Linked DNA regions of Pelodiscus sinensis. The main gene of each other region encodes a partner of the protein of the gene in region 2 in a complex. Links are inferred from orthologs where the notes say so. Each region holds a gene or a part of one and is shown on either strand. Other genes may lie near its edges. The genes, in order: SNRPF, DHX16, E3 ubiquitin-protein ligase RNF113A-like and SNRNP200.

The links.
Region 1: DHX16 (region 2) and SNRPF share a complex: the UniProt entries of both Homo sapiens proteins name them as parts of the minor spliceosome. The link is inferred for Pelodiscus sinensis from reciprocal best matches to the Homo sapiens genes DHX16 and SNRPF.
Region 3: DHX16 (region 2) and E3 ubiquitin-protein ligase RNF113A-like share a complex: the UniProt entries of both Homo sapiens proteins name them as parts of the minor spliceosome. The link is inferred for Pelodiscus sinensis from reciprocal best matches to the Homo sapiens genes DHX16 and RNF113A.
Region 4: DHX16 (region 2) and SNRNP200 share a complex: the UniProt entries of both Homo sapiens proteins name them as parts of the minor spliceosome. The link is inferred for Pelodiscus sinensis from reciprocal best matches to the Homo sapiens genes DHX16 and SNRNP200.

Annotation. Positions count from the first base shown.
Region 1 is NC_134711.1:81,493,075-81,500,833, reverse strand, and holds the start of SNRPF (small nuclear ribonucleoprotein F), read right to left. Parts: upstream 3,014-7,759; 5' UTR 2,883-3,013; coding exon 2,880-2,882; intron 2,748-2,879; coding exon 2,622-2,747; intron 1,832-2,621; coding exon 1,767-1,831; intron 1-1,766. UniProt on the Homo sapiens protein: Plays a role in pre-mRNA splicing as a core component of the spliceosomal U1, U2, U4 and U5 small nuclear ribonucleoproteins (snRNPs), the building blocks of the spliceosome.
Region 2 is NC_134742.1:11,515,146-11,522,527, forward strand, and holds the start of DHX16 (pre-mRNA-splicing factor ATP-dependent RNA helicase DHX16), read right to left. Parts: upstream 3,002-7,382; 5' UTR 2,667-3,001; coding exon 2,376-2,666; intron 1,029-2,375; exon of another isoform or gene 933-1,028; coding exon of another isoform or gene 900-932; intron 597-899; coding exon 355-596; intron 235-354; coding exon 72-234; intron 1-71. UniProt on the Homo sapiens protein: Required for pre-mRNA splicing as a component of the spliceosome. Contributes to pre-mRNA splicing after spliceosome formation and prior to the first transesterification reaction.
Region 3 is NC_134739.1:6,623,079-6,630,664, reverse strand, and holds the start of E3 ubiquitin-protein ligase RNF113A-like, read right to left. Parts: upstream 3,016-7,586; 5' UTR 2,853-3,015; coding exon 2,753-2,852; intron 1,659-2,752; coding exon 1,582-1,658; intron 243-1,581; coding exon 138-242; intron 1-137. UniProt on the Homo sapiens protein: Required for pre-mRNA splicing as component of the spliceosome. As a component of the minor spliceosome, involved in the splicing of U12-type introns in pre-mRNAs. E3 ubiquitin-protein ligase that catalyzes the transfer of ubiquitin onto target proteins.
Region 4 is NC_134738.1:241,349-248,798, forward strand, and holds the start of SNRNP200 (U5 small nuclear ribonucleoprotein 200 kDa helicase), read right to left. Parts: upstream 3,009-7,450; 5' UTR 2,896-3,008; coding exon 2,851-2,895; intron 114-2,850; coding exon 1-113. UniProt on the Homo sapiens protein: Catalyzes the ATP-dependent unwinding of U4/U6 RNA duplices, an essential step in the assembly of a catalytically active spliceosome. Plays a role in pre-mRNA splicing as a core component of precatalytic, catalytic and postcatalytic spliceosomal complexes.

The DNA.
Region 1 (7,759 bases), on a different chromosome or scaffold from region 2:
CTATAAACAGATGCCCATGCTTAACTTCAAGCATAGGGATGTCGATGAGCAGATGACTATATGATTAAGTAATAAGCCTGGGCTTATTAGTTAATCCTTTTGACTACATGTATTCCCCCCACTTTAGAGACAGTGGAATATGGGGGGGGGGGGAGAACGGGAGCTGGCTTTAAGCAGGCACCTCATGAGCACTGGATCCGCCTCCTCCCTCCCACCCCCACACTGCTGCCTTGCACAGAGGGTGAGGGGGCAGAGGGGAGCCAGTATGCATGGGGAGCAGGCTGTTAGGCTGGCTATCCACAGACCCATCTGCCTCTTCCCACTCTTGCTGCCTCCTACAGCGCTCTGTGGAGTCACCTGCTCAGCCACCTGGAGGAGCGGGTGTCACAGAAGAAGCTACCACAAAGCAGCCTCTCCACAGTGGACCTAGGCTCACTGCAAATGGAGGCTGCTCTGCAGCAGTGGCCCCTATCTGCGGGAGGTCCAAGCTCTCTGTGAACAAAGAGAGCTCAGCCCCCCTGCAGACAGGGGCTGCTGTCAGTGTTCCCTCTAATCTGCTCTGCAGCATATCTTTACAGGTGATTAATCATCCCCACCCATTCAGTCAGCTCCCTGAGCCTGGGTAGAGCTTATTAATCACCTATGAAGCTGTGCTTAGAGGGAACACTGACTGCTGCCACCAAGTGCTGCTGCCTCTAATAGTCCCTGGGGACTATCAAATAGTCATGCAACCACTGGAATTTGATGTAGTTATACAACTATTCAAATTACTCACTAACATCCCTATTCAAGCACATAAAGTTGCAGGAGCTGGACCTTAATATATATGCAAAAATTTGTTGATACTCTTTTGAAAATCCACTCTACCTCCTCAGACACATACACTCACTGGAGTCTCTGCTACCTCTCCTCATTTAGAGACCCATCATTTCTGTGAAACTATTCAGTGCCTAATTAACTTCTTGATATTATTGGTAAGATTTTTCTCAACTATTGACAAAAGATTCATTGGTTATCTGGGATCTTATTTATGTATATGAAAGAAGTTACAAAAAGGAGAAATTATGAAATGGGTATTGTAGTTGGTTCTTCCCTCCCCTGATAATACAGGTTGAACATCTCTTATCTAGCACATTTGGGACCTAACCAATCCTGAACTAGGGAGGTTGCCAGACTAGAAAAGTTTCCTACCATAGCCCCCAGCCGCCGACTCTGCCAGCTGGGGATTTAGGGGGGGGTGGGGGGGGGGGGGAACGGGTATGGAGGACTACCTCCAGCCCGACAGGGCTGCCTGCTGGGTTGCTGGCCCTGCTGCCCCGGCCAGACTGCCTGCTGCTGTCCCAGTCTTGCGCTGCCAGGTGCTACCCTGACCAATCCCAGTGCCACAGGCTATCAGAAACTGCTGGCTCCAGCTCCACTGCTGTGGGCTGCTGCCAGCCCTAACCTCTGCCCCATCCCATTGCTTCAGCCCTGCTCCTCCTGGATTACCCTCCTGCCACTAGGCTACCAGAGTTCTCTGATGAAGGAACTTCCATGGTCTGGCTGGACCAGAGAATTCCAGTTTTGGGAGGTGCAACCAGTATGATTTTTATTATGATCTGCCAGAAATTGCTTAGCACAGAATTAGAAACTGCAACTAAAGTATTTAATATTGCAAATTTTCAGACTGTTTTAGGCTGACTATTAAGGAATTGAAGAGTTCTGTCCATCTACAAATGTAATACATCCACTACATAACTTACTAAATAATCTATTTTGATAATTACCTTATCAAAACTTCACCAAGGTGTCCAGACAATGCACCATCTATGTATTCTTCTGTGTTTGCAAGCTTTAAGGAACAAAACATTAGCACAATTGTTTGAAGAAAATTCTCAGCCAGCAATCAATAAACTATTGTCAGGCTAAAGACATTCTACAAGGACTACTGGGCCCTTTGGGAAACTGGGTCTGTTTAATAGTAACTTGTACCTCATTAGAACTCTTTGTTTTTATTATGCATGTAGCTCATTATATTTCACTTTTCATTGAAGAATCTGACCAGAAGAGTGTGCCATATATAGCAAAATATGGTCTGTTGCTTTAGAACTAGTCTACAAACCAAACTTTGTGTAAATCCTTTTCATCAGTTCTCAAGCCAATCATACCTTCATGTTGGAGATGCTGCTGCCCTGCACAGAGCACTGCAGGAGCAAGGGTGTAGGTGGCTCCACATAGAACTAGGCAGTGCAGAAGCAGTAAGATCTGGGTCTACTTCTGCCAGGTCTTCTTTGATAGCAGGCAAGTCACTCACCTCTGATGCCCTCGACCCCGCTATGAGGCCCCTGAACAACCCTCACGCCGCAAAGGGGACCCCGTGTCCCCTTTTGAACAACCTTGTCATAGGCACCCCCCGACTCCCCACGGAACGGAGTTGCCAACTCTCCCGAAAGGTAGGACCGGACACCATTTGCGGCAATGGCATCCGGTCCGGGAGAGCTGGCAACCCCACACGCCCACGTTTGAGCCGCCCCCGTCTCCCCCCGAACTCCTTCCGCAAGCCCAGGCTGCGCGAGGGGGCGGGTCTCCCGGAGCCCTTGGGGCCAACGGGGGAGGGGGGGCGCGTCCCGGCTCCAACTGACCTGCATGTTCATGTAGCCATCGACGGACACCAGGTAGCCCTTGTACTCCATCCCCCACTTCAGCTTCACCATCACCGGCTTCCCCGTCAGCCCGTTCAGGAAGGGCTTGGGGTTCAGGGGCAAGCTCTGCGAGTCACCACAACAGCGGGGTCAGCGCGAGCGCGGCCAGGGCTCCCCCGGCACCTGCCGCCCCTCACCCACCCCAGGGCGCCCCCCCCCCCGGCAATCCCACCCGCCTCGCGGCGCGGCCCCCCTCACCATGGCAACGCGGCCTGGCACAAGGCAGCGCTGAAAACAAAAATTACTCGCTGGGCCGCACGTGCGCCCGCCGGAGTCCGAGAGAAAGCCAGGAAGTGACGTCCGCTCCTTCGCTTCCGGGAGTGCGCGCTGACCTCCCGCCTTTTGCCCGCCCACGAAAGCCTGAATCCCGTTGGGCCCGGGGGCTAGCGCGCGAACGGAAAAGTCGGGTGCTGAGTGGCTAGACCGAACGACGGGGCGTGGCTAGTGACGCAACCCTCGCGGAGCTAGAAGGCCACGCCCCTTCCCTTGCATAGGGGCTTCTTGTAGCAGCTGGTTTTCCCTACCGTAATCCTCTGTGTGCGCGGGCTGGAGTTCGATTTGCGCTTTTTTAGGGACTTTATGATGGGGGAGCAGAGGAGGGAGCCAGAGTGTCTTCTAGGGCCCAGGGAGGAGCCAAGCACGTGGCGCCCATTGCAGAGTCAGGGGCCGGTGTAGTGGTTCCCAATCTTTTTAATGCTGCGGACCCACAAACCTGTTCACAAACTTTTGGTGGGTTGGTAATATTTTATTGGCCTATTTGCATATTTATTATGCTAATTAATTTAAGAGGTCATGTGTTATTTTACATCGCATAAGCATGCACACAATACACGTCATTGGAAGAGATCAGAGTTTGCAGTTATCTACAACACTAAAAATTCTCTAAAAGAATCCTTTCTTATCTTGAGTGATTAACACCTATGTAAACTTTCTTTGAAATGTAATTATGCCCAGGAAATCTCATGATACCACTTACACTTTTTGTTAGTCTCTAAAGTGCTGCAGGACTATTTGTTGTTTTTTAAGTTTTTTTCTATTACAGTGTAACTTGGCTGCCCCTCTGAAACTTTTGGACATGCAAATGTCATGAGGTAGGCCTTTTGTTTTGCCTGCTGCCCAGAGGGAAAGAAGTTAGACACCCTAAACTCTCTCCTATCCCCACCACACTGAACTAGTCCCCACCTCTAGAAAGAGGGAGTCACATAGGCCCCCCCCCCCCAGTCTCCATGTCCCACATGTGAACTGGGCAGAGCAACTGCAGCCTACCTGGGACCCCTGGAGAAGGTAGAAGCTGCTGCAGCATGAGAAGCCAGGATGCTCCCACCTGCCTCTAGGACCAGGGGACGCACATGGGACAGGTGGGAAGGTCTCACATCCCCACAGCGAGCCTCTGTCAGTAGCCAAGGCCCTCTGACCATCCCTCCGCAGCTTCCCCAGCAACAGTTTGGTCCGTCCCACCCTGGCCATGCCGCTGCTCCATACTAGAGGAGAGGAGCTGAAGTAAACACTCGGCTGCGGGGGCAGAGCCATGGCAGCTAATGCTCTGTGGGGCAGGCGAGGTATTGCAAGCCAGCCTCCTGTTCTCTTCTCCCCAGGTAGCCCCTGCCTGTCAAGGCATGGGGATGGCCTGGCAGTGTGCCACAGCCTGGCAGCCAACGGTTCATGGCCTGGCACTGGTCCACGGACTGGTGGTTGGGAACCACTGCTTTAATGTACTTACAGTGACCCCCATTACTGCAGCCTAATGACACCTCAGAAGTCATCCTCTGTAATGCATTCACCTGGCTGCATCCATGCTGCTAGGGATGGAGTGAGGGTTTTTCTTGCGCAAGAAGGGGCAGTGTAGACAGCTCCTTCTGGCGCAAGAGCCTCTTCCGCAAAAAAGGCGGCTCATTAGGTATGCAAATGAGGCTCAGCGATATTCCATGCTTAGCCTCATTTGCATATTTCTTACGCAAGAACCCACCAGTGTAGACATAGCCCTAGTGTCATCCTGACCCAGTGCACAGAGCTGCTCCACGCAGTCCTGTGACTTTGATGATTTATTCATAGACTTTTTCATGCCCCATTATTTTTCCAGTTCTGGCCAGAGCAGGCAAGTGCCTCCCAAACAGTACTAAATTTATTTTGTTCTTTTTGGTTTTGAAAACTACTGAACTATTTTGCCTACAAATATTTCCAAATAAATAATAAATTCATTACTGAGCTGAGAATGAGCCTGTTACATTTGAGCAAAAAAAAATTATTTTTTTTAATGAAAGGTCATTGCAGGATTGGGGGTAAAGTGGTCATTGCCCCCAACTTAGAACTTCATTTTTTATATTTCTGGATGACATGAAATTCGTCCACTGAAACTGATCCAGACATTAAAAGATATTCCTCCACCCCCCACTCTCCTTGTCTGTAATAACCTGGGAACTCACAGGGTTACAAATCTGCAAACCAGATTCAGCCTCATCCTAGGATGCGTCTACACCCTTAGCTCAAAATAAGATGTGCAATTTGTGCAATGCAATTTGCGCTACGCAATTTGCGTATCGTATTTAGATTCTTATTTAGTCTTTTTTTCAAAATAGGCTATTTCAAAATTTGGCACATCTACAGGTGCCAAATTTCTAAATAAAACACTATTTCAAGACATTCCTTATCTCTCATGCAAACAGGTTTACAGGGATGCTGAAATAGTATGTCTGCTATATTTCGCAATAGCGGACACATTCAAAAGACCCGGGGATAGCTATTTCCCCCAAATAGCATTGCAGTGTAGACATACCCCTAGAAGTGAATGTAGTGTGAGTGTATATATTTATCCACAAGGTGGCATTGCTTATCTTGCACAAGGACTGTCTGGAGATGTACGGGGTAGCCTTCTGGTACAAAACTCTTTTATATTCTTCATATAAAGCCAGCAAAGCACAGTGGCCTGGATTTCTGTATAACAGAGTAATTGATAGGGCAGGATGTTTTAATTAATATGAGCATACCATTATAAAAACTAAAACTGGGGAAAAAGCCATCTAATCTGTGTCCGTGCTGGTGCATGATTAGAAGCTGCAGTAAAGTTTTAATTCTCAGACAGTAGAACTACTACTACTTCTCTTGGCAATAGAATTCATAGAATGCCTTTCCTAACTTGGTTACACTTAATGAACTTTAGGTATACAGGCAGTCCCCGACTTACGCGGATCCGACTTATGTCGGATCCGCACTTACGAATGGGGCTTTTCTCGCCCCGGAGCTCACGGGCGGCGAGTCGCCACCCGTGTCCTCCGGGGTGAGAAAAGCTTCTCCCGGTCTCCCTGGTCTGCTGGGGGGGGGTCCAGCAAAGCCGCTGGACCCCCCCAGCAGACCAGGGACACCCAAGCAAAGCCGCTGCCTGGGCGGCTTTGCTTGTTTGCCCGGGCGCAAAGCCGCCCAGGCGGCGGGACCCCCGCTGCCTGGGCGGCTTTGCTTCTGTCCCCCTGGTCTGCTGGGGGGGGTCCAGCAAAGCCGCTGGATCCCCCCAGCAGACCAGGGACACCTGAGCAAAGCCGCCGCCTGGGTCCCTCCGCCTGTGCGGCTTTGCTCGGGTCTCCCTGGTCTGCTGGGGGGGGAGGGGGCGCAGCTAGTGTGCCCCCCCCCCCCAGCAGACCAGGCTTTTGTTGCGGGACGCCTCGGGTAGAGCAGCTGGGGTGCTGCCGGGTTGGTCCTGTGGGAACCTACCGGGCGGCGCCCCAGCTGTTCTGTTCCAGGCTCCAGATTCAGCAGCTGTTGAAACTGATCAGGCTGATTCCAGGAAGCTGGGGGCAGAGCAACTCTGCCTCCGGCTTCCTGTAGTCAGCCCCTGGTCAGTTTCAGTGGCAGCAGCTGAATCTGGAGCCAGTTCCGACTTACATACAAATTCAACTTAAGAACAAACCTATAGTCCCTATCTTGTACGTAACCCAGGGACTGCCTGTATTGCTGCAGTTATAACTCCTAACTCCTTTCATCCCTAATGAATATTGAGTTTGTAACATTTAAGTAATCCATGTGTTAGCACAGCAGTCTCATAGCGGGATTTGATCAGACAAGTACTTCCCCCAATATATAAATAAGTTATTTTGAGACTGAGGCTACTGTACACAGTAAGTATGATTTTCTTCCACTTAATATTCAATATATTCAGCTTTTTGTGTGCAAAATGAGTATATTCAGAAAACAATTATAGTTCCAAGTAGCGTCCATTCCCCTATGCATCATATCCCCTCAAATCATTGGCAAATTCATTCTGTCTCCATACTGTTCAAAGAAATACTACAACTAATCCTGATTTAATTATTACTGAGCTAAATCACATATCTTTCTCTTTGACCACAGACATCTCTACATACAGTGAGACAGAAGCTTCATCACTGTACAGGTGAACAGTTGGGATTGGAAGTGTGTGTACAACAGTTCTACTCCTTTGGCACAGCTATGCTCAGTTCCTCTGGAATGCCGCATAGAATGGTTTGTGGCTGGAATACAGAGGGGTCTCTAAGTACCCCACTACACTGTGGGGGTTTTCCAGGAGACTGAAGTTATCCCAGAAAAACTCTGCTGTGTCCAGGAACACGTTTGCTCTTCTCTTTTTTTTTTTGCTGAAGTGCAAACGCGCACTTTCAGAAGCCCTGTCCTCCTCATTCCATGAGGAAGAAGGGATCTTCCGAAAGAGGGGGATTTTCCAAAATTTGGCCCAGTGTAGACGGGCCAAACTTCAGAAAAGCCTCTTCCGAAAAAAAAATCGGAAAAAGCTGTAGGGTAGACCTAGCCTTAGAAGCTAGGTCCACACTATCAGGTTATTTCATATTAAGTTATTTCAAAATAATAACTCCCAAAATAACTATTTCAAAATAAGCTTATTCTTCTTCACAAGCAGGAGTTACTATTTCGAAATAACAAGCCCATTATTTCGAAAAAACAAGCTCAGCAGTGTGGATATTCTCCTTGTTATTTCGAAATACAGAGAGTTATTTTGAAATAACTACCAAGTGTAGACATGCCCTTATATATTGCTTCCAACAGTCTGGGGCAACAGGAGTGTACTATGGCTGCTGGAATTTCAAAGGACTGTAGTA
Region 2 (7,382 bases):
TGGCACCAAGGAGGGATCCAGCAGCAAGGATAGGGTTGGGGATGGGTGCTGGTCGCAGGGCAGGCTCTGACCTTCTTGTCCGACCGCTCCAGGATATTCCTGGTCCGCTCCTTGTCCTTGCGCTTGACCCGTTCGGCAAAGGCGTCGCGCTCCTCCAGGTCCTGCAGGCGTTCCCGCTCGCTGCGGTCCCATTCGTCCTCCGAGTCCTTTCCCTCCAGGGCCGGGGCCGGCTCCCTGCATCCGGGGAAGGGCCAGAGACCACAGTCAGGGCACTAGCCAGCCCCGGGGAGCCCCAGCGCAGGGGACTCTCCCTCGCCCCACCCTCTAAGATCCCCCAGCGGAGGCGACACTCACGGCTCCCGCTCTGCCTCGTTCTCCTCCTCTGACGCCTCCTCCTGCTTCCGGCGCAGGTGTTTGCGCCGCTTCTTGTGTTTTCTCCCCTCGGGGCAGTGCTTAGAGCCTGGGGCCCCCCCCGCATCTCTCTCCTCCTCCTCGCTGTCCTCCAGCAGCTGGTACGAGCGGTTCTTCTGCTGCAGGGCGAGGGCCTCCCGCTCGGCCACCCGGGCCGGACGCTCCTGCGGAGCTGAACGTGGGACCTAAGAGCAGGGCAGAGACAGGGGTGGGGTTAGAAATACTGCACAGACAGTGCTCGCTCCCTGCCCCCCCCCTTCTGCTTTCTCCTTTAGCTCCTCCCACTTAGCACACAGGTCCCGCCTCTACAGTTGGCTCCTCCCCCTCCCCAAAGGCTCCTCCCATTCTGCTAAGCTTTCTCCTTCCCATGTAGTTCCTGCCATGGTAACCTCTCCCTAAATCCTCCTCCCCTGCCTCCCCCCCCCAACCTCCACAGGACACTGCTAGGGCTAGCCCTGCCCCATCCCCTATAGGCCTCGCCCGCTAACCTCACAGGACTCCCCCCTTGGCGCCTTCTCCATCCCTACTGCTCCTGCTCCCTTTGTTCACAGGCCCTTCCCTTTCAGCCCCACTCCCTCTCCTGCCCCCCAGCATGTCTCCTCCTCTCCCCAGGCCCTTAGCCCCTTGCCTGACACTCCGCCCTCTGGCCCTACTCAGCCCCTCCAGTGTGACCCCTCCTCATCCCTACTAGCTCCTCCCCCTCCTGTGTGACCCTCCCCACCCCACTGGCCCCTTCCCCTCCAGTGACCCCCCCCAGCCCCACTAGCCCCTCCCCCTCCTATGTGACCCCCCCCGCCCCCTGGCCCCTCCCCCTCCAGTGACCCCTCCCTCCTGTGTGACCCCCCTTCAGCCCCACTAGCCCCTCCCCCTCCTGTGTGACCCCCACTAGCCCCACCCCCTCCTGTGTGACCCCCCTCAGCCCCACTAGCCCCTCCCCCTCCTGTGACCCCCCCTCAGCCCCACTAGCCCCTCCCCCTCCTGTGTGACCCCCCCTTAGCCCCACTAGCCCCTCCCCCTCCTGTGTGACCCCCCTCAGCCCCACTAGCCCCTCCCCCTCCTGTGTGACCCCCACCCCCTCCTGTGTGACCCCCCTCAGCCCCACTAGCCCCTCCCCCTCCTGTGTGACCCCCACTAGCCCCACCCCCTCCTGTGTGACCCCCACTAGCCCCTCCCCCTCCTGTGTGACCCCCACTAGCCCCTCCCCCTCCTGTGTGACCCCCTCAGCCCCACTAGCCCCTCCCCCTCCTGTGTGACCCCCCACTAGCCCCACCCCCTCCTGTGTGACCCCCCCTTAGCCCCACTAGCCCCTCCCCCTCCTGTGTGACCCCCACTAGCCCCACCCCCTCCTGTGTGACCCCCCTTAGCCCCACTAGCCCCTCCCCCTCCTGTGTGACCCCCACTAGCCCCTCCCCCTCCTGTGTGACCCCCCCTCAGCCCCACTAGCCCCTCCCCCTCCTGTGTGACCCCCCCTCAGCCCCACTAGCCCCTCCCCCTCCAGTGTGACCCCCCTTCAGCCCCACTAGCCCCTCCCCCTCCTGTGTGACCCCCACTAGCCCCTCCCCCTCCTGTGTGACCCCCCCTCAGCCCCACTAGCCCCTCCCCCTCCAGTGTGACCCCCCCTCAGCCCCACTAGCCCCTCCCCCTCCTGTGTGACCCCCCCTCAGCCCCACTAGCCCCTCCCCCTCCAGTGTGACCCCCCTTCAGCCCCACTAGCCCCTCCCCCTCCTGTGTGACCCCCACTAGCCCCTCCCCCTCCTGTGTGACCCCCCCTCAGCCCCACTAGCCCCTCCCCCTCCAGTGTGACCCCCCCTCAGCCCCACTAGCCCCTCCCCCTCCTGTGACCCCCCTCCCCCACTAGCCCCTCCCCCTCCAGTGTGACCCCCTCAGCCCAATGGCCCCTCCCCCACTGTGGCCCCGCCCCTCCGTTCTAATGGCCCCGCCCCCCGCGGTGTGGCCCCGCCCACCTGCTCCCAGAGGCGCCGGGCGAAGGCGCGCACGGCCGGCTCGCTCACGCGCAGCGTCTCGGTCTCCTCCAGGCGGCTCAGCAGCTCGTCGGCACTGCGGCTGCGCCGGGCCAGGCCGAGCAGGAACGCGACCACGTGCCGCTCGCTCAGCCCCAGCAGCGCGTGCAGCTCGCCCGACACCCAGCGCTCCAGCGCCGCCATCCTGCCCCCGCTTCGGACCCCCCCGTGGGCCACCGTACCCCGCTTCCGGGCCACGTGACCGCCCGGGCCAACGGCTTCCGCCATCGTCATAGCGCGCCGGCGTAACGCCCTGTACCGTAATGACCGGTCTATGAGCGGCGTCAGACTTCAACAACCCACGCTCGCCCCCGCCTTCGCCCGCTACCGTAATGAACGGAATATCCACCGCGAGCAAAACTCTCTGGTCGTAAGGACAGGGATACGCGCCTCCACTTTTGCGGGCGACTTCTTACCGTAGTGTCTGGAATATGAGCGGCCCCGCCTCCAGCCAGACTTTTTACCGTAATTAAAGCAATAAGCGCCTCTCCAGCTGGCTCTTTACCGTAATGACAGGAATAGGAGTCTCTCCATCTCCAGCCGGCGTTCTTACCGTAATTATAACAATATGAGCCTCCCCTTCTGCAGGCCCCTCTACCGTAATGACAGGAATAGGAGTCTCTCCATCTCCAGCCGGCGTTCTTACCGTAATTATAACAATATGAGCCTCCCCTTCTGCAGGCCCCTCTACCATAATGACAGGAATAGGAGTTCTTACCGTAATTATAACAATATGAGCCTCCCCTTCTGCAGGCCCCTCTACCGTAATGACAGGAATAGGAGTTCTTACCGTAATTATAACAATATGAGCCTCCCCTTCTGCCTCTACCGTAATGACGGGAGTAGGAGTTCTTACCGTAATTATAACAATATGAGCCTCCCCTTCTGCAGGCCCCTCTACCGTAATGACAGGAATAGGAGTTCTTACCGTAATTATAACAATATGAGCCTCCCCTTCTGCAGGCCCCTCTACCGTAATGACAGGAATAGGAGTTCTTACCGTAATTATAACAATATGAGCCTCCCCTTCTGCAGGCCCCTCTACCGTAATGACGGGAGTAGGAGTTTTCCATCTCCAGCCGGGCTTCTTACCATAAATATAGCAATATGAGCCTCTCCATCTCAGCGGACACCTTACCGTAATTGTGAGAAAATTAGTTGCCCCTTCTCCGGCCACATAGCCTACCGTAATTACAGGATTACGAGCCTCCCCTTCTCCAGCTGACTCTGTAATTCTGCACCTTCTCCAAACAGATCCCTTAAGATAGCAATATGAGTCTCTCCTTCTCGGGCCGGGCCCCTTTTACCGTAATTACAGGATTGCTCATCATACAGCCAGACTGGCTTCCATAATGACCATAACATGAGCCTCCCCTCCATCCAACCAGACATGCTACCCTAATGGCATCCCGCCACACACCTATCCATTTACCGTACTTACAGGAGTTCATGCCCCCTCCAGTTTTCACCTCATGCTGTCATTATGGATATACACACACCCCACGCTGGGGTGGGATTTTTACTGTAAGAATATAAGAACGGCCAGGCTGGGTCAGACCAAAGGTCCATCTAGCCCAGTGTCCTGTCTGCCGACAGTGGCTAATGCCAGGTGCCCCAGGGGGGAGTGAACAGAACAGGGAATCGTCAAGTGATCCCTTCTCTGTCACCCATTCCCAGCTTCTGGCAAACAGGCTCAGGACACCACCCCTGCCCATCCTGGCTAATAGCCATTGATGGACCAATTCCCCATGAATCGATCCAGTTCAGTTACCATCCTACCAGCTGCAGGCAGAAGCACAGCCCAGTCCGGCTGATCCTCACAGGAGTTTGGTGGGGAGGCAGCACATGGAGAAGTCAGGTTCTTTACTGTACGTGCAGGTGTAATCCACACATTAGGAATGTGCCATTATCAGCGATCTTGTGTAATGTTGGCCTGCACCGTAATTACTGTAATACAAGCTGCAGAACCAATTCAGGTCTGTACCATAATTAACCATGCATGGGCTCTAACATGGATCTGAACTGCAATTAATAGAGGACAGGATACATCCAGAACGGGCTCTGCACCAGTGTAGTGGTCACTGTGTGGGTCCTCCCTTCCAAGTCAATCCTCTACCATAATTACTAGTGTACAAGCCTCAAATACTATTGGGACCTGTACCATAATGACCCATGCACAAGCTGCCCCCTCAGCTCGGCCCTTCACCATTACTGCTCACGTCTGAGCCACAGCTCCAGTCTGTGCACCCTATAACCTGCACATGAGCAGCTACCATGGTCCTGCTCCTCGTTTTTATTGGTATAGGAGCTGCAGTTGTCCTCATGCTCACTGTCATGATAGCTATCTGGCTGTCCCTTCTCTAACCCCAACTTCCCTTGCACAAGCCAATGTTTTCACACTTAGGAGCTGCTGCCCTAATTTGGTTCCTTTCTGTAACTAGCTGCGTGTCTGCCCATCAGATTTTTACCATAGTTAACTGGGTATGAGTCAGTTTCCGGCCTCTCTCTTTTAGCACCGTTACAAACCTATTCAGCTGCCTCCCCAGTTCACAGGTTCTGTATTTACTAGCATTTGAGTCAACTTCCCGACTACGTTTTTTATCATATTTACAGACAAATCAGCGTCCCATCTGATTGTTTACCTTATTTCCAGGCATGAGTCAACTCTGCTTCTAGACCCATGAGTCACATTTTTCAGTAGGCACATTACCGTATGTCCCAGCAGACAACCTCCGCTGGCTTCCTGCCATATTGACCAGAGTCTGAGTTGCCTTCAAAAGTAGGATCATCATCGTTTTTACAGAGCCAGCTCTTATCTGTATTTCCAGGCATATGAGTTGACTTCCTCCACGTAATGTCATTGTCTCTAGCTTAACGGCATCATGCAGCAAAGCTTCATTCTCATTGTAGTCCTGTCTCAAGCACTGTTCTTCTATGGGGGGGGGGGGGAGCTGCAAAGCAGCGTTCCCTATAAGCTGGGCACTTGGGTGGCCACCCAAGAGCGAGTCAAATGCCGCCCAGAATAGCAGAGTGCCCTCAGCCGGCAGCATGTGTTTCTACTGGTGGTGCACATCTGCACATGCCTTGGTGCATAGAACAAAATTTACTCCGCACAGGGCTGGAAAAAAAATCAAGGGCGCATTGATGCAGAGGCAGCTGAAGGTTGCCTGGACATGTGGGATTTTCTCCTTCTGACACACTAGCAGGGATTTCAGCCTCGGTGGGGCTGCAGCAACGTAGTGCGGAGCTCGGAGGCTGGGGCAACGTGGGCTAGGAGGCAGTGCAGCACCCACGCCACCAGGGGGCAGGAAAGAGCCACGGTCTTCCCCAGTGTGGAGGTCTGAGTGTTGGGGGTGAGCGGGAGAGGCGGGAATGGGGGATCCCGCCTTGTCAATGCCTCACCACTAGGGGGCGGGAGAGAGTGAATGGGGGCTCAGGTGCCTACAGGGCAGAGCTGCAACCCCCAGGGGGCGCACAGGATCTGGCAGGGCAAACCCTCATCTCCAAGGGGTACATGGGAGCCAGGTCCCGGCAGCATCCACCCCTCACCCTCAAGGGGTACATGGGAGCTAGGTCCTGACAGCACCCATCCTCCCCTCCTGTGGCATCTGGGAGCGAGGTCCCGGTAGCACCCCCCCCCCGTTCACAGAATCATAGAACTGGAAGGGACCTCGAGAGGTTATCGAGTCCAGTCCCCCGCCCTCACAGCAGGATCTAGATCACCTCCAAAAGGTATAGGGGCACCAGGTCCTGATGGCTCCCACACCCCTCCCAGACCACGTGGGCCACAGATGATAGGGAGGCGGCTTCACGTGCAACATCTCTCCGTTTTATTATTATTATAACACATATAAAAAAACGCTATTGGAACTGGCCGGCTGCGGCACCCTCCCCCCGCCAGGGCACAGACGCCTCCTGCTGAGAGGGTTAAACAGGAGGGGGGGTTATTGCCCCTGGACGTCTCGCCCCCGTGACCACAGGGCTGCTCTGGGCGGGGGGAGGAGCGTGCCGCATTTGTTCGTTCACTCGCCCCCTCGTTCCTGGGCGAGGACGCGACTGCTTCCCCCAGTGCAAAGGAAAAAAAATAGTCATAACGAGAATGAACTAAACTCACGGAGGAGGGGCTCATTCATCCATCCATCCAGGCCCGCCCCCACTCACTCCGTGCCCTCCCCACACACTGAATTCCCCATTCCCTCCACGCTCACGCTCGTCCCCACACACTCATCCAAGTCCACAGTCACATGGCACAACCTCCTCCCGCCCCCATGAAAGGAGGTGAAATTGCTCCACCTAAAGAGGAAGTGGGATGGCTAAAACAGGAAGTCACCCCTTTGGCCCGCCCTCTGCCTCCATCACTTCGTCGTCCCCCACCTCCAGTCTCCTCCCCAAATCCTGGCTGGCTCTGGCTCCCACCCTCGAACCACATACTGCCCCGTTCCCCCCCAACACAACTAGGCTTGCCTCAAGTATACAAAAATGGCCCCACCTGTAACTAGCTCCAGCCTACTTACAAATGGCCCTCCCACCCCTGCAAAATAGCAATTTGCCCCACCCTCCAAATACTGACTGGCTCCGCCTCCGTCTCAAGTGGCTCCGCCCCAGTCGTAGATTGCCCCGCCTCCAACAGTGATCCTCTCCAGTTATGAGTGGGACTTGTCAAGTAGCAAAGTGATCCCTCCCTTCCCCAATAGACCCCACCCCCACTGTGCTACGCTAACTCCCCTTAACTCTGACCACCCGGGCAGCATTATTAGGAAGTAAAAACTGGGTAGCAAAAGTTCCTCACCTGCACGACATCCCCTAGAAAAAGGGGTCAAGAGTTACAAAAAATTGCATGTGTGTATGGTGGCGGGGTGGTTTTCTTCGCCACCCTCCACTAACAATTAGTCCATCCACACCCATTTTGGGGGGAGGGGATGTGACCTTTAACCTTTGGCTGAAAAGGTA
Region 3 (7,586 bases), on a different chromosome or scaffold from region 2:
GTTTCAATAACAAAACCTGACCATGGCGCCCAATCATAAAACCAACCAATGACATAGTCTGCATAACAGAGACCAGAGTAAGTGATCTTAGTGTCCCTTCTGATCCCTTTTAAAGCCATGTGGCGCATTGTGCTTACCGCTGATCTCGTTGATTTGTAAGCGACACCAATTCCTTGCGATTCCCCCTCATCATCACTGCTGCTTGCCCCATACGAGGTCTTCTCTTTATCACTTTTCCTGGTCTGAAAGATGGAAAGGCAAATATCTGAAGAACTGAGAAAGATCCACACAACACAACACCCAGACATGTTCTCCTGGTTGGCCAGAGACAGTGTTGCAGCCCAGGAAAGCAAATCAGTGGAGTGAAAAATTGTCAAAATCAGGGCCCATATCCACAAAGCATTGGTTTAATGCAGCCACCGCTGGGCTGGAAGGAGGGCAGAGCAAAACTCCTTTGATTCTCCTAGATCAAGGGGCATCACAGAGTAAAATTCTTGCATTAAGAGAGCCAAGTTATAGGTTTAATTTGGATCTGTGAGCCTACAATGCCAGAACTTTTCGTTTCCCTCAATCTGCCGTGCATCTCCACTGGATAACAATAGGAGGTCTGAGAAAAATCAAACAAGCCATAGAATCCTTACACAGCTTAACTGCTTCAGGGGATAGCCATAGCTTTAGAATTCTGCCAGTATGCTTCTGTCATGCCAGGGTGTGATCCCTGACCCCTCCTAGCAGTGCCAGCAGATACTACTATACAGGCAAAACTTCACTGATGCTGATATTACTCTTTCTTGGGGTGGGGGATGAAATAAGATATACTGGTAAAATCAATAGAAACTGCATCCACACTAGAACCCCTTTGCTGACATAATACACCAGTATAGTTATACCAGCAAAGCAGTAGCCTAGATTTTCAGTTACTGAAGTTAACTGAAGTTATTGTGGCATACTGCATCACACTGGGTAAAAGTCACACAGGATACTTTTAGATCTTTTAGATCTTCCACTTACTGCCCTATGCTGGCCATTTTCATATGCATTTACCCAACCTGTGCATTTATGCTCACAGATTAGTAAAATCTAGTCCTTTGTATATCCTCATTAGGCTTTGAAACATAAATTACCCCCTTGAGAGGAAAGTTCACCTCTCTGACCGTGGGGCATTGCATACCCCAGAAGTCACTTCTGCATCAATTACTGTCTGCACATTTGAAAGAATTTTCCCATAATCAAATGGGCTCAAAACAGAGGGATGGGTTTTCTTTTGTTTTTGGAGGCAGGGGGGCTGTTAGGTGAGAACCTGAATTCTGTATAGTCTGAATCTGTCATGAGCCCAAATAAAATGTATAACTGGCTGGATCCATAGGCTGGGTGTATGACACTGCAACAGCTGAGGGAGGGTGCTGGCAAACCAGCTGCTGAGCAGTTTCATGGTGTTGGCACCCCCCCCCAGGGATTTCCAGGGGCCGAATGTGGGACCCATCCCACCCCCACTTGACCAGGAGTTTGGTCCCACACAGGGTGGGATGCAGTAACTGGACAAGGCATGGAGCTGGGCATCTCTGTGATGGGCTTGGTCACCTTCTGGATCATGGGGTTGTGGGTGTCCCGCCGCCTCTCCTTCCTGACCACCGTGCTCCCCTCATCGCTGCTACTCCCTGCGGAGGACAAGACGCCATCAGTTCAAGGGCCCTGAGGGGCAGGAGCAGCTGGGCTGGGTCAGGCCCTGGCCCCATGTCCCTTCACCCCAAGGGGCACCCCCACATGCCAGGGCCTGAGCACGGGGCTTTTGGGGGCCACTCAGCCTGCGCAAGAGGCTGGGCACCAGCCCTTGGGGGGCCCCCGGCCCCTCCAAGGGAAAAAGGCACCATCAGTTCAAGAGTCCCATGGGGCAGGAGCAACCAAGGGGGAGGGGTGAGTGGGGAGGGCGCCCCCAGGCCTCTCCAGGATGTCAGGGCTCCCCCACCCACCAGGACAGTGGCACTGTCCAGACGCCTTGCCTCTCCCATGCCATTAGGGCAACCCAGAAACCCTCAACCCCTTCCCCAGTAATAGTGGGACAGCCCAACTTCCCCTACACTTCAGGGCAGCCCAGAACCCCCCTTTCTCCAGTAACAGTGGGACAGCCCAACACCCCTCCCCCCCCACACTTTAGAGCAGCCCAGAACCCCCCTTTCTCCAGTAACAGTGGGACAGCCCAACACCCCTCCCCCCCCACACTTTAGAGCAGCCCAGAACCCCCCTTTCTCCAGTAACAGTGGGACAGCCCAACACCCCTCCCCCCCACACACACTTTAGAGCAGCCCAGAACCCCCCTTTCCCCAGTAACAGTGGGACAGCCCAACACCCCTCCCCCCACTCTTTAGAGCAGCCCAGAACCCCCCTTTCTCCAGTAACAGTGGGACAGCCCAACACCCCTCCCCCCCACACACACTTTAGAGCAGCCCAGAACCCCCCTTTCCCCAGTAACAGTGGGACAGCCCAACACCCCTCCCCCCCCCACACACACACTTTAGGGCAGCCCAGAACCCCCCTTTCCCCAGTGACAGTGGGGCAGCCTACCCCGGAATCTCCCCCCTTTCCTACTGATAATGGATCAATCCAGAAACCGTCTCCAGTGATAATGAGACAAACCTAGAAACCCTCCCCCCCCCCGAGTACAAATGGCATAGCCCGAAACGCATCGTTCACCACCACCCCTCCCCGCGATAATGGCACGGTCCGCGGCAGGGGAGCGACCCCCCAGCCTCACCCTGCTCCTGGTCGCTGCCCGGCCGCTTGCGTCGCCCCCTACCGGCGGCCGGGCCCCGCTTCTTGAACAGGAAGCTGCAGACGGGGCTTTCTTCCGCCATCTTCCGCCGCCAACGAGAGGGGCCGGCAAGGAGCGGAGAGAAGGACCCACCGGCGCCAACGAGACGGGCCGGGCTGGAGCGGAAAGGAAGCAGCCGGCAGCAGCGCCGCGCTGGGCCCCCTGGCGGCGGGGAGGGGGAACCGCAGCCTCTGGCTCCGCTTGCTGTGTCTGGGAGAGGAGCGGAGCAGGGCCCCCAGCACGGGGGGAGGGGCAGGAGCGCCCAGGAGGGGAGGAGGAAGCAGGGGCCCCAGGATGGGGGGGGGGGGGCAGGAGCGCCCCAGGAGGGGAGGGGGAGGGGTAGGAGCGCCCCAGGATGGGTGGGGGAAGCAGGGGCCCCAGGATGGGAGGGGGAGGGGTAGGAGTGCCCCAGGATGGGAGGGGGAGGGGTAGGAGTGCCCCAGGATGGGAGGGGGAGGGGTAGGAGTGCCCCAGGAGGGGAGGGGGAGGGGTAGGAGCGCCCCAGGAGGGGAGGGGGAAGCAGGGGGCCCCAGGAAGGGGAGGGGCAGGAGCGCCCCAGGAGGGGAGGGGGAGGGGGAGGAGCGCCCCAGGAGGGGAGGGGGAAGCAGGGGGCCCCAGGAAGGGGAGGGGCAGGAGCGCCCCAGGAGGGGAGAGGGAAACAGGGGCCTCAGAAGGGAGCTTTCCCTTTTCAGGGGCTGCCCAGAGAGAGCAGCTACCCCTCCCAGCTAGGAGAGGGTCTGATGCCGCCCCCCCTGGGCTGCTCTGCTTCAGGCAGTTGTGCTGTGGCTCCTGGGGGCATTAATGAGACTAGCCCGAGGGCCCAGGCTGGGAAATGCTTCCCTGCCCTGCAGGTGAGAGGCTGGTGCAAGCACCCTGGCCTGCTGGGTGCTCCCTTCTGAACGGGGGAAAGCCGAACACTGCGGAGCCCCACGCACTCCTAGGTAGTATTGGGCATTAGCCTTTCTTTCCTGGCCAAACTCCACCTTTGGCTGTTACAGTACAGCAGGTCTCTTCCCAGACTACTGTGCCCTGTTAAACGCCTCCCACACCCCAGCCTAGAGGTGCCTGCGTTCCCATGGTAAAGCTCTTTGCAATCCCTATGTCTGAAAGGAGCTAATAGAAAAGATTATTATAAGCTACTCTGAGTCAGTAGCAGCTGTTTCTGAATACCAAGAACACTGCTCTTTTCCAGCCTGCCAACAAAATGCTTAGGAAGCATGTGTATCCCCAAGCTTATGGCACCTGAAAGGTTAATTCCTCCTCGCACCTGTGTCTCATCTTCTTGCAACCTTGCTTTGCTTCCTGTGAGCAGAAAGCGTCCCCAATGCAAATCATTTGGCTCCCAACTTTGAACTAGCCAAGCAAAGAGTGTGGTTGGCAGCATGGGGTATCACCATTATCCTCCAGTAAAGAGGATTCAGTGTATTTGGTGGGGGATTTATTGGTGATCCTGGATGGCTCAAAGGATTGGGAGTGGGATGAGTTATATAGTTCCCTTTGTGTCAGGGTCAGGAGTAACTAGGGTGACCAGACATCATGATATTATCAAGACCATTCTGAAATTAGGGGCTTTGTCTTAAAAAGGACCATATTACCCCCCCTTCCATTACTCCCCTGCATCCCAATTTTTCACATTTGCTCTCTGGTCACCTAAGAAATAACCAAAAGTCTTTCTCTTCTTTAGTGGCTGGTGTGAAATGATTTGGCATGTTCCGCTCAGAGTGGATGCATCTCCAAATCGTACCAGCCTCCCTGTGGGTAGCAGAAGCCACCTACAGGCAGTGTCTCATTTCTAGAGGTGATGCCCAGTTTTCAAGTGTGTTAGTGCCCAGTACAGGAAAGACTGGGAACACTCTCTTCAGACTGTATGGTCAGACAAATACAGTTATAGAGTCAGAGTACTAGAACTGGAAGGGACCTCGAGAGGTCATCAAGTCCACTCCCCTTCCCTCATGGCAGGACCAAGCACCGTCTAGATTAGGAGTGGGCAATAATTTTTGAAGGGGGCCACTTCACAAATTTCAGAAGTGGCCGCGGGCTGACCCAGAAGGGGTGGGGCATTGGGCGGAAGGAGTGGGATTGACGACTACCCTGTGGAGAGCTTTGCTTGGCCTCGGGTCCCGACCTCCTGACTTCTGGCCAATGGAGGGTGCTGGAGGCTAGCCTCCTCCCAGAGTTGTCTGGGGTGGAGGCTTAGAATTCACATAACATGGCTGGCAGCTCCTGGCCCTGCTGCTAACCTGTTGCCTGGTAGCCACCCAGCACTGACCCACAGAAAAATCACTTGGGGACCACACAAGTGAGAAGCAAAAAAACTCCTCCAAAAATCTCCAGCGCTCACTGATGTGGCTGCACCTGAGGGTATGTCTACACTACAGAGTTTTTTTCAGAAAAACGGCCGTTTTCCCGAAAAAGCTTCATTTTCATCCACACTGCAGGGAGGAGGGAGCGCTCTCCAGCAGCTTCATGGGGGAGGAAGGGCAGGGCTGAGCTTCCTCCCACGTGCTGCTGAAAATTGATTTGCTTGCCATAAGTTGCCCACATGCCGTAGGTTGCCGACCCCTGCACTCGGGGGTGGGGCCTGGAACTGCCTTGCAAGCCCGATCAAAGCCCTAGGAGGGCCAGATCCCACCTGCTAAGAGGCTTTTGTCCACCCCTGGTCTAGATCATCCCTGACAGATTACTATCCAATCTGCTGTTAAATATCTCTAGTGATGGAGACTCCACAGCCTCCCTACACTATTCCAGTGTTTAACCATCCTGACAGGAAGTTTTTCCTAATGTCCAACCTAAACCTCCCTTATTGCATTTTAAGCCCATTGCATCTTATCCTCTCAGTCTTCTCTTTTCTAAACTAAACAAGCCCGATTCTTTCAGTCTTCCCTCATAGCTCATGTTTTCTAGCCCTTTCATCATTTTTGTTGCTCTTCTCTGGACCTTCTCCAATTTCTCCACATCTTTCTTGAAATGTGGTGCCCAGAATTGGACACAACACTCCAACTGAGGCAGAATCAGGGCAGAGTAGAGCGAAAGAATAACTTCTCGTGTCTTGCTCACAGCACTCCTGTTAGTGAATCCCAGAATCATGTTTGCTTTTTTTCTGTAACAGTGTTACACTGTTGGCTCATTTTTAGCTTGTGGTGCACTATTAACCCTAGATCCTTTTCTGCAGCACTCCTTCCTAGACCGTCACTTCCCATCCTGTATGTGTGAAACTCATTGTTCCTTCCTAAGTGCAGTACTTCGCATTTGTCCTTATTAAACTTCAACCTATTTGCCTCAGACCATTTCTCCAGTTTGTCCAAATCATTTTGAATTATGACCCTATTCTCCAGAGCACTTGCAACCGCTCCCAGCTTGGTATCAATGCACCTCAAGTTCTGCCAATGCACCTCAATCCTGATCTACAATGACCTCTGGCATTCCCGTTCCAGTGCCACCCCAGCTCTGCCCATGCACATAGTCCTTATCTACAGTCTCCATCACTATTCTAATCCCAAGGCCCCTGCTGATGCATCTCATTCTGGTCTACAGCATCCCCAGCTATTCTAAACATGAGCTCTCACTCTGTTCAGCCAAAGCACCTCATCCCTCCCTCTCTGGTACTTATACAGCCCCACCACCACCACTGCAATAACTGAGCAGTTCCCTTCTGAGCTTTTCTCATGTCATGTGGATCATGTCTGCTAAGGACTAAAAGGGGACTAGATTCTAACGTGAGCTACGCAGGCATCCTCTGGAATAACCCCTGTTGCGGGGCATATGTGACTGAGAGGAATTTTGCATGGTCTCTTACAATATGGCTATGTCTATACTAGCGGCTTCTTGCACAAGTAATATGCAAATGAGGCTAAGCGTGGAATATCGCCGAGCCTCATTTGCATACCTAATGAGCCACCGTTTTTTTCAGAAGAGGCTCTTGCACAAGAAGGAGCGTCTACACTGCCCCTTCTTGCGCAAGAAAAACCCTCTTGCGCAACGCCATTCTTCCTGAAAAGTAATAGGTGTAACAGCATTGCGCAAGAGGGTTTTTCTTGCGCAAGACGGGGCAGTGTAGACGCTCCTTCTTGTGCAAGAGCCTCTTCTGAAAAAAACGGTGGCTCATTAGGTATGCAAATGAGGCTCGGCGATATTCCACGCTTAGCCTCATTTGCATATTACTTGCGCAAGAAACCGCGAGTGTAGACATAGCCTATGTGTTAACTACTTATGCCAAACAATCTGTTCCACCTTGTATTTAGCGGTGACATATCTGAGTACCTTTCCCAGACCTGAAGAACAGTTCTGTGTAGCTTGAAAGCTTGTCTCTTTCAAGAGGTTGAACCAATACAGAGGTTGGACCAAAACAAGATACCGCTTCATCTATCTTGTCTCTGTAGCAACCCCACCATCCTTTTCCATTTTGCTCTCAGATAGATTTACACTCGGTTCTTTAGAAAAACATGTTGGGTTCCCCACGGAATATTGACCTCGGTCTTCTTTTAACGAGATTAAATCCTTTCCTCCTGGCCTTGTTTTGATGTAACGAAATGTATACGAGTCTGTCCTTGTCACTGTTCAGAAGGTGCAGCATGTTCCCGCTAACTGATGTTACAGGCTTGAGCTATTTAGAGATTGAGCAGGTTTCTGATCAAACAATGGGCTGCCCAGGACCATCTGTCGCTCCCTGATTCTTCCTTTTATCATCCTCCTGTAATAATCAAGCGGGGCCATGTTCTATAATTACATCCCCACTAGCTGCAGAGCCAGACAATGCACTCAGATGCTCTGGTTTGTA
Region 4 (7,450 bases), on a different chromosome or scaffold from region 2:
CCCATTCGAGTGCCCTCCAGCTTCCCAACCAAGGAGAGCACTTCCCCTGTAGGCTCATCTCGCCTGGTCCTGTCGATCAAGGAGCGATCAGCTTGCAGTACAAGATTAGAATTCTGAAAGGGATAACATCACAAGAGCAGATAAGAGGTGTGAAGAAATCAAACAAATTCCTATACATTATCCTCATTACTGTGGTGCCTAGTGTCATAAGCCAAGACCCTGTGGTGCCAAGTGCTATACAAACAAAAGACAATCTCTGCTCCCAAAAGCTTACAATCCAAGTATAAAACTAGGAACTCCTCATGGATACAACTAGCACAGCTTAAAGAATCAATGAGTTAATATTGACAATCAATAGTGGTCTCAGCACACTAGCAATCAAGCTTTTTGTAGGCCTCACGGCAAAAAACAGTTTTGAGAAGGGATCTGAAAAGAAATGAGGTAGCTTTGCAGATATTTATAAGTAGTGTCACAAGGAAAAGGGTCAGTACAGGGAAAGCAGGGCAATGCTTGCCTGGAAATTTAAGAAGTCGATGGTAGCAGTAGCCAACCAGAAGTAGGAATCAACTATTCAAGAGCAAATTAGAGGGAGAGAGGGAAATGACTTCAAACGCCTAGAAAGCATATACAAGTAGCTTATACACTTCAGAAGGTAGTCATGTTAGTCTGTAACTGAAAAAAAAAAATGTAAAAAACAATAATCCTGCAGCACTTTAGAGACCATCTATATTTTTTGTTAGTTGCTAAAGTGCTGCAGGACTCTGCTTTTTAATTTTTTTTACCAGTAGCTTATGTTGGATATAATAAAGAAAATTAACCCAGTGAGGGATGCAAAGAAAGGAATGGTATGACAAACTGGGGGCTTTTATTCACTTTATGATGTCGCATGTGAATGCTACTGTCCTATGGTAATCCCATGTGTGTGCCTCAGTTTCTCACAGCACTACATCAATACCTAGATAGTGAAAATACAACCCAAAATTCCCATAGCTGAAGGCAGCTACCCCAGCTGCCTACATGTACACAATGGCTGAAGCCCTTTGTAACCTAAGCGGGGTGGGGGAGAAAGAGCACCTGCTGCCCAGGAAGCAGGACAAAAACTGGAGAAAAGGCCAAGCTGGGGACTGGGACAAGACTGCTGGGGATGTAGATTAATCTCAGCTATTTTAGGGAAGCAGGGGGATAGTGTTCCCTGTAGACTGAGTGCTTGGGCAGCTGCCCAGCAGAGATTCAGATGCTGCCCAGCTGATTAGCAGAGTGCCCACAGCATGTGTTTCTATTGGTGGTGCACATCTGCACATTTCTCAGTGCACATACATTTATTTCACTCAACAATGGAAAAACTTAGCGGGAACCTTGCAGGGGGAGGCCCTGGCTCTGCCCTCCCCCCCACATGACAGATTGCAATAACTGCTTCTGGTTGCTCTGCTGACAAGCCTGTTCTACGCTATGTCCCTGTTGCCTAATAAATCATGGGGCACTGGGACAAGGGTGCTATGGTAATACTGGCCCAGTCTGAGGTGGTGGCACCAGACTTGATGATGCCCAATGCCCACCTGACTTTGACATGCATAGACAGGACCCCATTCAAGGTACCCATAGCAAGAGTACCTGAAATGGGGGGGCTAAAAGGGCCCAAAAGAGGTGGAGGTGCACCATCACTTGCCCACTGGGGTGCTGATGGGGAGTGATCTGGAAGAAGGACCCCACAGTGTTCTGGTCACTACCCTTAGCCAAAGCCAGCAAGAGGCACTCTGCCCTGGTGAGGGTAACCTGAAGGGGGCACAGGGCCCTACACTGGCAGAAAATTCCCAACAGCCAGGCTTGGCATTGCTGTGATGTCAGACCCAGGCTGTGAAGGGGAACAGGTCTCCATCCCTTCCCTGGCTGCTAAACTCAAGGCTGAGTTGCAGAAAGATCCCTCCTTACAGAAGCTGAGGGACCTGGCTGGCCTCAGTGCAGCACAACTGCTGGGGGAAGAATGCAAGGAGAGGTTCCTGTGGTTGAAGGGATTCCTGAACCGGGAATGGATTCCATCCCCAAGGGAAGTGGAGTCATAGCAGGGGGTGGGGGTCCAGCAGCAGTAGGTGATTCCCAAAAAGTACCTTGGAAGGCTACTGTACCTGACCTGTGACATCCCACTCTCGGGAAACCAGGGTCTCCAGCACACCAGGCAGTGGCTGCTACAGAACTTTTACTGGCCTGGAATCTTTGATGCTATCCAACAGTCCTGCAACCCTTACCACAGGATAGGGAGGGCCCAGGACAAGGGGAAAGCCAACTTGAGGCCTCTGCCAATCATAAGAGGAGCCTTTCCAGAAGATGGCTAAGGATATAGTGGGACATTTCAGGAAAGCCACCCAAACTGGGAAGATTTCACTACTCACTACTCTGAGGCAGTGGCTCGGTCTTCTATTGAGGCAGACACACTGCTAACCATTTTCAGCAGAGTGGGGTTTCCCAAGGAGGTCCTTGCAGACCAAAGGTTCAACTTTATGTCAGCCCTGCTCTGGTGCTGGTGGGAGAAGTTTGGGGTGTGAAATACGCAGCCTCAGCAGGCTGGGGCGAGGCTCAATGGGACACTAAAGCAGATGCTAGAGACCTTTATGCACCAGCACCCACAGGGCTGGGACAAGTCTTTACCCCACCTGCTGTCCACGGGAGTCTCCCCGATTGAGCGCGAGGCCCCTGGACCTGCTGAGGGAGCAGGCGGGCAGGCCTCCCCCGAGGGGGAACCGGAGTGAGGAATGTACCGGCCGCCCGAGAAAAGCTCGGCAGAGCCTAGTCGTCTCCCCCAAAACCGGGCGCCCGCGCCCCTCTCCGGGGACTGCTCTCCCCGCCCCCACTCACCGCCTTGTATTCGTACTGCAGGCTCCGCGCGGTCACATCAGCCATGGCGCCGCCTCAGCTACCCGGCCCCGGCCGCGACCAAGCGGAAACGCAGCACCGCACGCACGTCCGAACCAAGGCAGCAAGTACTTCCGGAACACCCCGGAAGTGCTGAAGAACGAGCCGTTGCTTCTCAAGAGGCCCTCTCGCCCATACGTCATCACCCCCGGCCAGGGGGCCATGCGATATTACGTCATGGGTCCGCCCCCGAAGAGCTGGCCCTGGCCCGAACACGCCCCGCGTTGCCTAGCGACGGGCCGGGCTTTGTGTCCATCAGGCGTGCGCGTGCTCAGATGGCAGGAAGCGCCCACGTGGCCCCCGAGGCGGATCAGCTCCCGCTTGCAGGGTGGGCAGAGTTTCAATGCGCATGGCCCCAGGGCTCCTGGCCCCCCGGAGCATTGGTCTGGTCTGGGCGGGGCAGGGCTCCTCCTCTTCGCGGTTTTGTTTGGATGCGAAGAAGCTGGCGGGGGATGCAGGGAAGCGCGCTGCGCAGCGGTGTCCTGCTGGGCGCAGTGCGGGTGGCGGGGCGCAGGCGAGGCGGTGCTGGCTCCTGGGAGGGGTAACTTTCAGCTGGCACAGAGCCCATGCCCCTTAGCCCTTTTATTGACCTCTCGTAGCCCCAGGCAACAGCTGGGCCATGGACATTCCGGGTTCGCAGGTACAGCCCAGAACCCAGGCCCCAGCGCAGGTACAGCTGAGAAGCCAGATCCTGGGGTGGGTACAAATGAGCATCCAGCGCAGGTGTAGTCGAGAACTCAGGGTGGGTACGGCCCAGAACCCAGACCCTGGGATAGGTACAACTGAGAATCCAGGGCAGGTATAACCTAAGACCCCAGGCCCTGCGGTGGGTACAACCCAACCCAGAGCCCGGGGTAAGTACAGTCGGGAACCTAGGGTGGGTACAGCCAAGAACCCATGTAGATACATCTCATTAATCTCTGTATTAATTATTTTCTCATTGACATTTTTATCAATTGACTCTGTATCAAGTTCTTTTAGCATTGTATTACGTCTTTAGCTTTGTTACATTAAGTCCTTTTATATAGAAACTTTGTATACTTTCATATAGAACATAGAAACTTTGTATTAAGTCTTTTTACATAGAAACCTTGTATCTTGTAGACTTTGTACCCCGTTTTGCGTAATTGATTGTCCTATTGAGTGAATGAGGTGTGAATGGATAAGGCATGAAAGACAACCACCTCTGGACACTTGCAAAGGTTGGAGAGGGGTGGAAGCCAGATCCAAGAACAATGAGAAGAACAATGGGATCTGTGAAGTGGGCTCATTGAAAGATGAGTGGACATATGGACACTTTGGGAGTCAGCAGCAAGTGCCAGCTTTTGGAAGCACCCTCTTTGAAGGAGAATGTGGCAGCATTGAGACACCACCCAAAAGAAGGTGCCACAGATGTCTTAACTGCATATGAAGCAAAATGCAGGACAATGTAGCACTTTAAAGACTAACAAGATGGTTTATTAGATGATGAGCTTTCGGAAGTGGGTCTGGCCCACAAAAGCTCATCATCTAATAAACCATCTTGTTAGTCTTTAAAGTGCTACATTGTCCTGCATTTTGCTTCAACTACCCCAGACTAACACGGCTACATTTCTATCACTTAACTGCATATGCATATGATGACTCTTACAGATGATGCATATGCATGTGATGACCAACTGGTGGAGATCTGCAGGAGAGGGAAGACACTATAAATCTAAGGCATCTTGCAGAGGGACCCTGGGTTTTTGTCTTGTCAACATGGGAGCACCTACCCAGATCTGCAGAAGCCCTCTACCCCTCCCCCACCTAACTCACCTGGCCAGTGCAGTTAGAGGGAACAATTATTGGTAACAACAAGAAGATGGGGTGTGCTTGTGTTATCATATGCATATGATAAGTGTTGATTGATATATGTGCTACCAATAAATATGGTGTTTTGCCTTTTTGCCCTGAAAAGATCTCAGGGTACGTCTACACTACAGCGCTAGTTCGAACTAACTTAGTTCGAATTAGTTAATTCGAACTAAGCTAGTTCGAACTAACGCATCTAGAACTAAAAACTAGTTCGAACTAGCGTTTTGCTAGTTCGAACTAGTAAGTCCACATTGAGTGGACTCTGAACAGGGCTTAAGGCTGGCCGGAAGCAGTGCCGGCAGGGCATAAAAGGAGGACTTAGAGCATGGAGATGCTGTCTCAGGCTAGCCGAGGGCTGCGCTTAAAGGGTCCCGACCCCCACCCCGGACACACAGTTCTCAGGGGTGCCCCGCTTGCAAAGAAGTTCTGGCTTGGAGTGCCCTGAGTGCCCACACTGAGCACATCACACCACTCGGCCATCACCCCGGCTGCACTTGCCGCAGGCTGCCATCTGGGGAGAGGGGGTAATTGGGGGGCAGCAGGAGAGCTTCCACCCCCAGAAGCCCGCAGAGCCAGCCCAGTCCTCGCCATCGGGGGCTCGTACCCCATACCTCCCTCACCTCCTTCCACTTACCCTTCCCTAGCCCCCCTTCTTATTGATGTACAAAATAAAGATAACGTTTCTTCCAACATTGACTCTGTCTTTATTGAAAAAAACTGGGGGAGACTGGGAAAAGGAGGTGGGAGAGGGGAAGAGAAAGGCTGGGAGAGGGGAGGGCAACTAACATGATCAGGGGTTGGGAACAGGTCCCAGATGAAGAAAGGCTACAGAGACTGGGACTGTTCAGCTTAGAAAAGAGGAGACGGAGGGGGGACAGGATAGAGGTCTCTAAAAGCAGGGGTTGGGTGGAGAGGGTGCATTCAGAAAAGTTCTTCCTGAGTTCCCATAAAGAAGGACTAGAGGACACCAAAGGAAAGGAATGGGTAGCAGGCTTGAAACTAGTAAGAGAAAGTTGTTGTTGTTGACAAAGCAAATAGTTAACCTGTGGAACTCCTTGCTGCAGGAGGCTGTGAAGGCTACAACTAGAACAGAGTTTAAAGGGAAGTGAGATCAAGTCATGGAGGTTGGGTCCATGGAGTCCTATTAGCCAGAGGGTAGGAGTGGTGTCCCTGCCCAAAGTTTGTGGAAGGCTGGAGAGGGATGGCACGAGACAAATGGCTTGGTCATTGTCTTCGGTCCATCCCCTCCAGGGTCCCTAGGGTTGGCCGCTGTTGGCAGACAGGCTACTGGGCTAGATGGACCTTTGGTCTGACCCAGTACGGCCATTGTAAGCTCAGGGCTCAGTGTCGGGGGTCTCAGTGGACCCCCTTGATTTTCATGCACACCTGGTCCTGGGTGGCCAGGCTGGCAGCTCTCCTGCCCTAGACGGCCACTTTCCTGTGCCTAGTGCGGAGATCGTGGACGAGGTCCACGATGTCCGCACTAGCCCAGGAAGGTGCCCGCCTCTTGCGGTCCAGGGCAAGCTCCCGGGAGCCGCCAGCCTGGTCCCGGCAAGAGGGGGTGGGCTGGGGGGCATCGGGTGGGTGGCTCTGTGCCGTGCCAGGTGCAGGGTCTGCTAGCTGGGTGCTGGCAGGCTTGCACCTGGCACGGGCACCGTAGCCAGCCCGTGCCCCTTTAAGGGGTCCGGGGCCGGGAGGGGGGCATAGAGTTTCCCTGGTGTTGGCCAGAGTGGCCACCAGGGAAACCTGGGGAGGGCTAGCCTCCCACTAGTTCGAACTAAAGGGCTACACAGCCCTTAGTTCGAACTAGCTAGTTCGAACTAGGCGTTAGTCCTCGTAAAATGAGGTTTACCTAGTTCGAACTAAGCGCTCCGCTAGTTCGATTCAAATTCGAACTAGCGGAGCGCTAGTGTAGCGCATAGGAAAGTTAGTTCGAACTAACGTCCGTTAGTTCGAACTAACTTTCTAGTGTAGACATACCCTCATGCAGTACTCTTAAGGACAACACCCATGCCCTGGGATGGGTACAGCTGAGAAACCAGGGCCTGGAAAAGGTACAGGTGAGAAACCAGGGCAAGTGTGGCCAAGAACCCAGGACTTGGGATGGATACAGTTGAGAACCCAGGTACAGGGGCAGGAATAGCTGAGAACCCAGGGCAGGTATGGCCGAGAACCCAGGCTCCAGTGGTGGGTACATCTGAGAACCCAGGGCAGGTATGACTGAGGGCCTGTGGCCTGGGGTGGATATAGTTGATGGTGCGGGGAGGTGAGTATGGCCAAGGGCAGGTATGGCTGAGGACACAGGACATGGGGTGGGTACACCCAAGGACCTGAGGCAGGTATGGGGGGAGCAGGACCCAGGGTGGGTAGACCCAAAGCCCAACACGGTATGGCTGAAGATTTAGGCCATTTTCGCGATCGGGGCTTTTTTCTGGAAAAGACTACTGGGCTGTCTACACTGGCCCTTTTCCGGAACAGTGTTCCAGAATAAGGACTTATGCCCGAGCGGGAGCAGAATAGTTTTTCTGGAATAGCGGCTGATTTTGTACAGTAGAGCATCGTTGCTTTTCCAGAAATTCAAGGGCCAGTGTAGACAGCTCGCAGCTTATTCCGGAAAAGCGGCTGATTTTCCGGAATAAGTGGTCCAGTGTAGACAGAGCCTGAGTGGATAAGAACATAAGAATGGCCGTACTGGGTCAGACCTGTT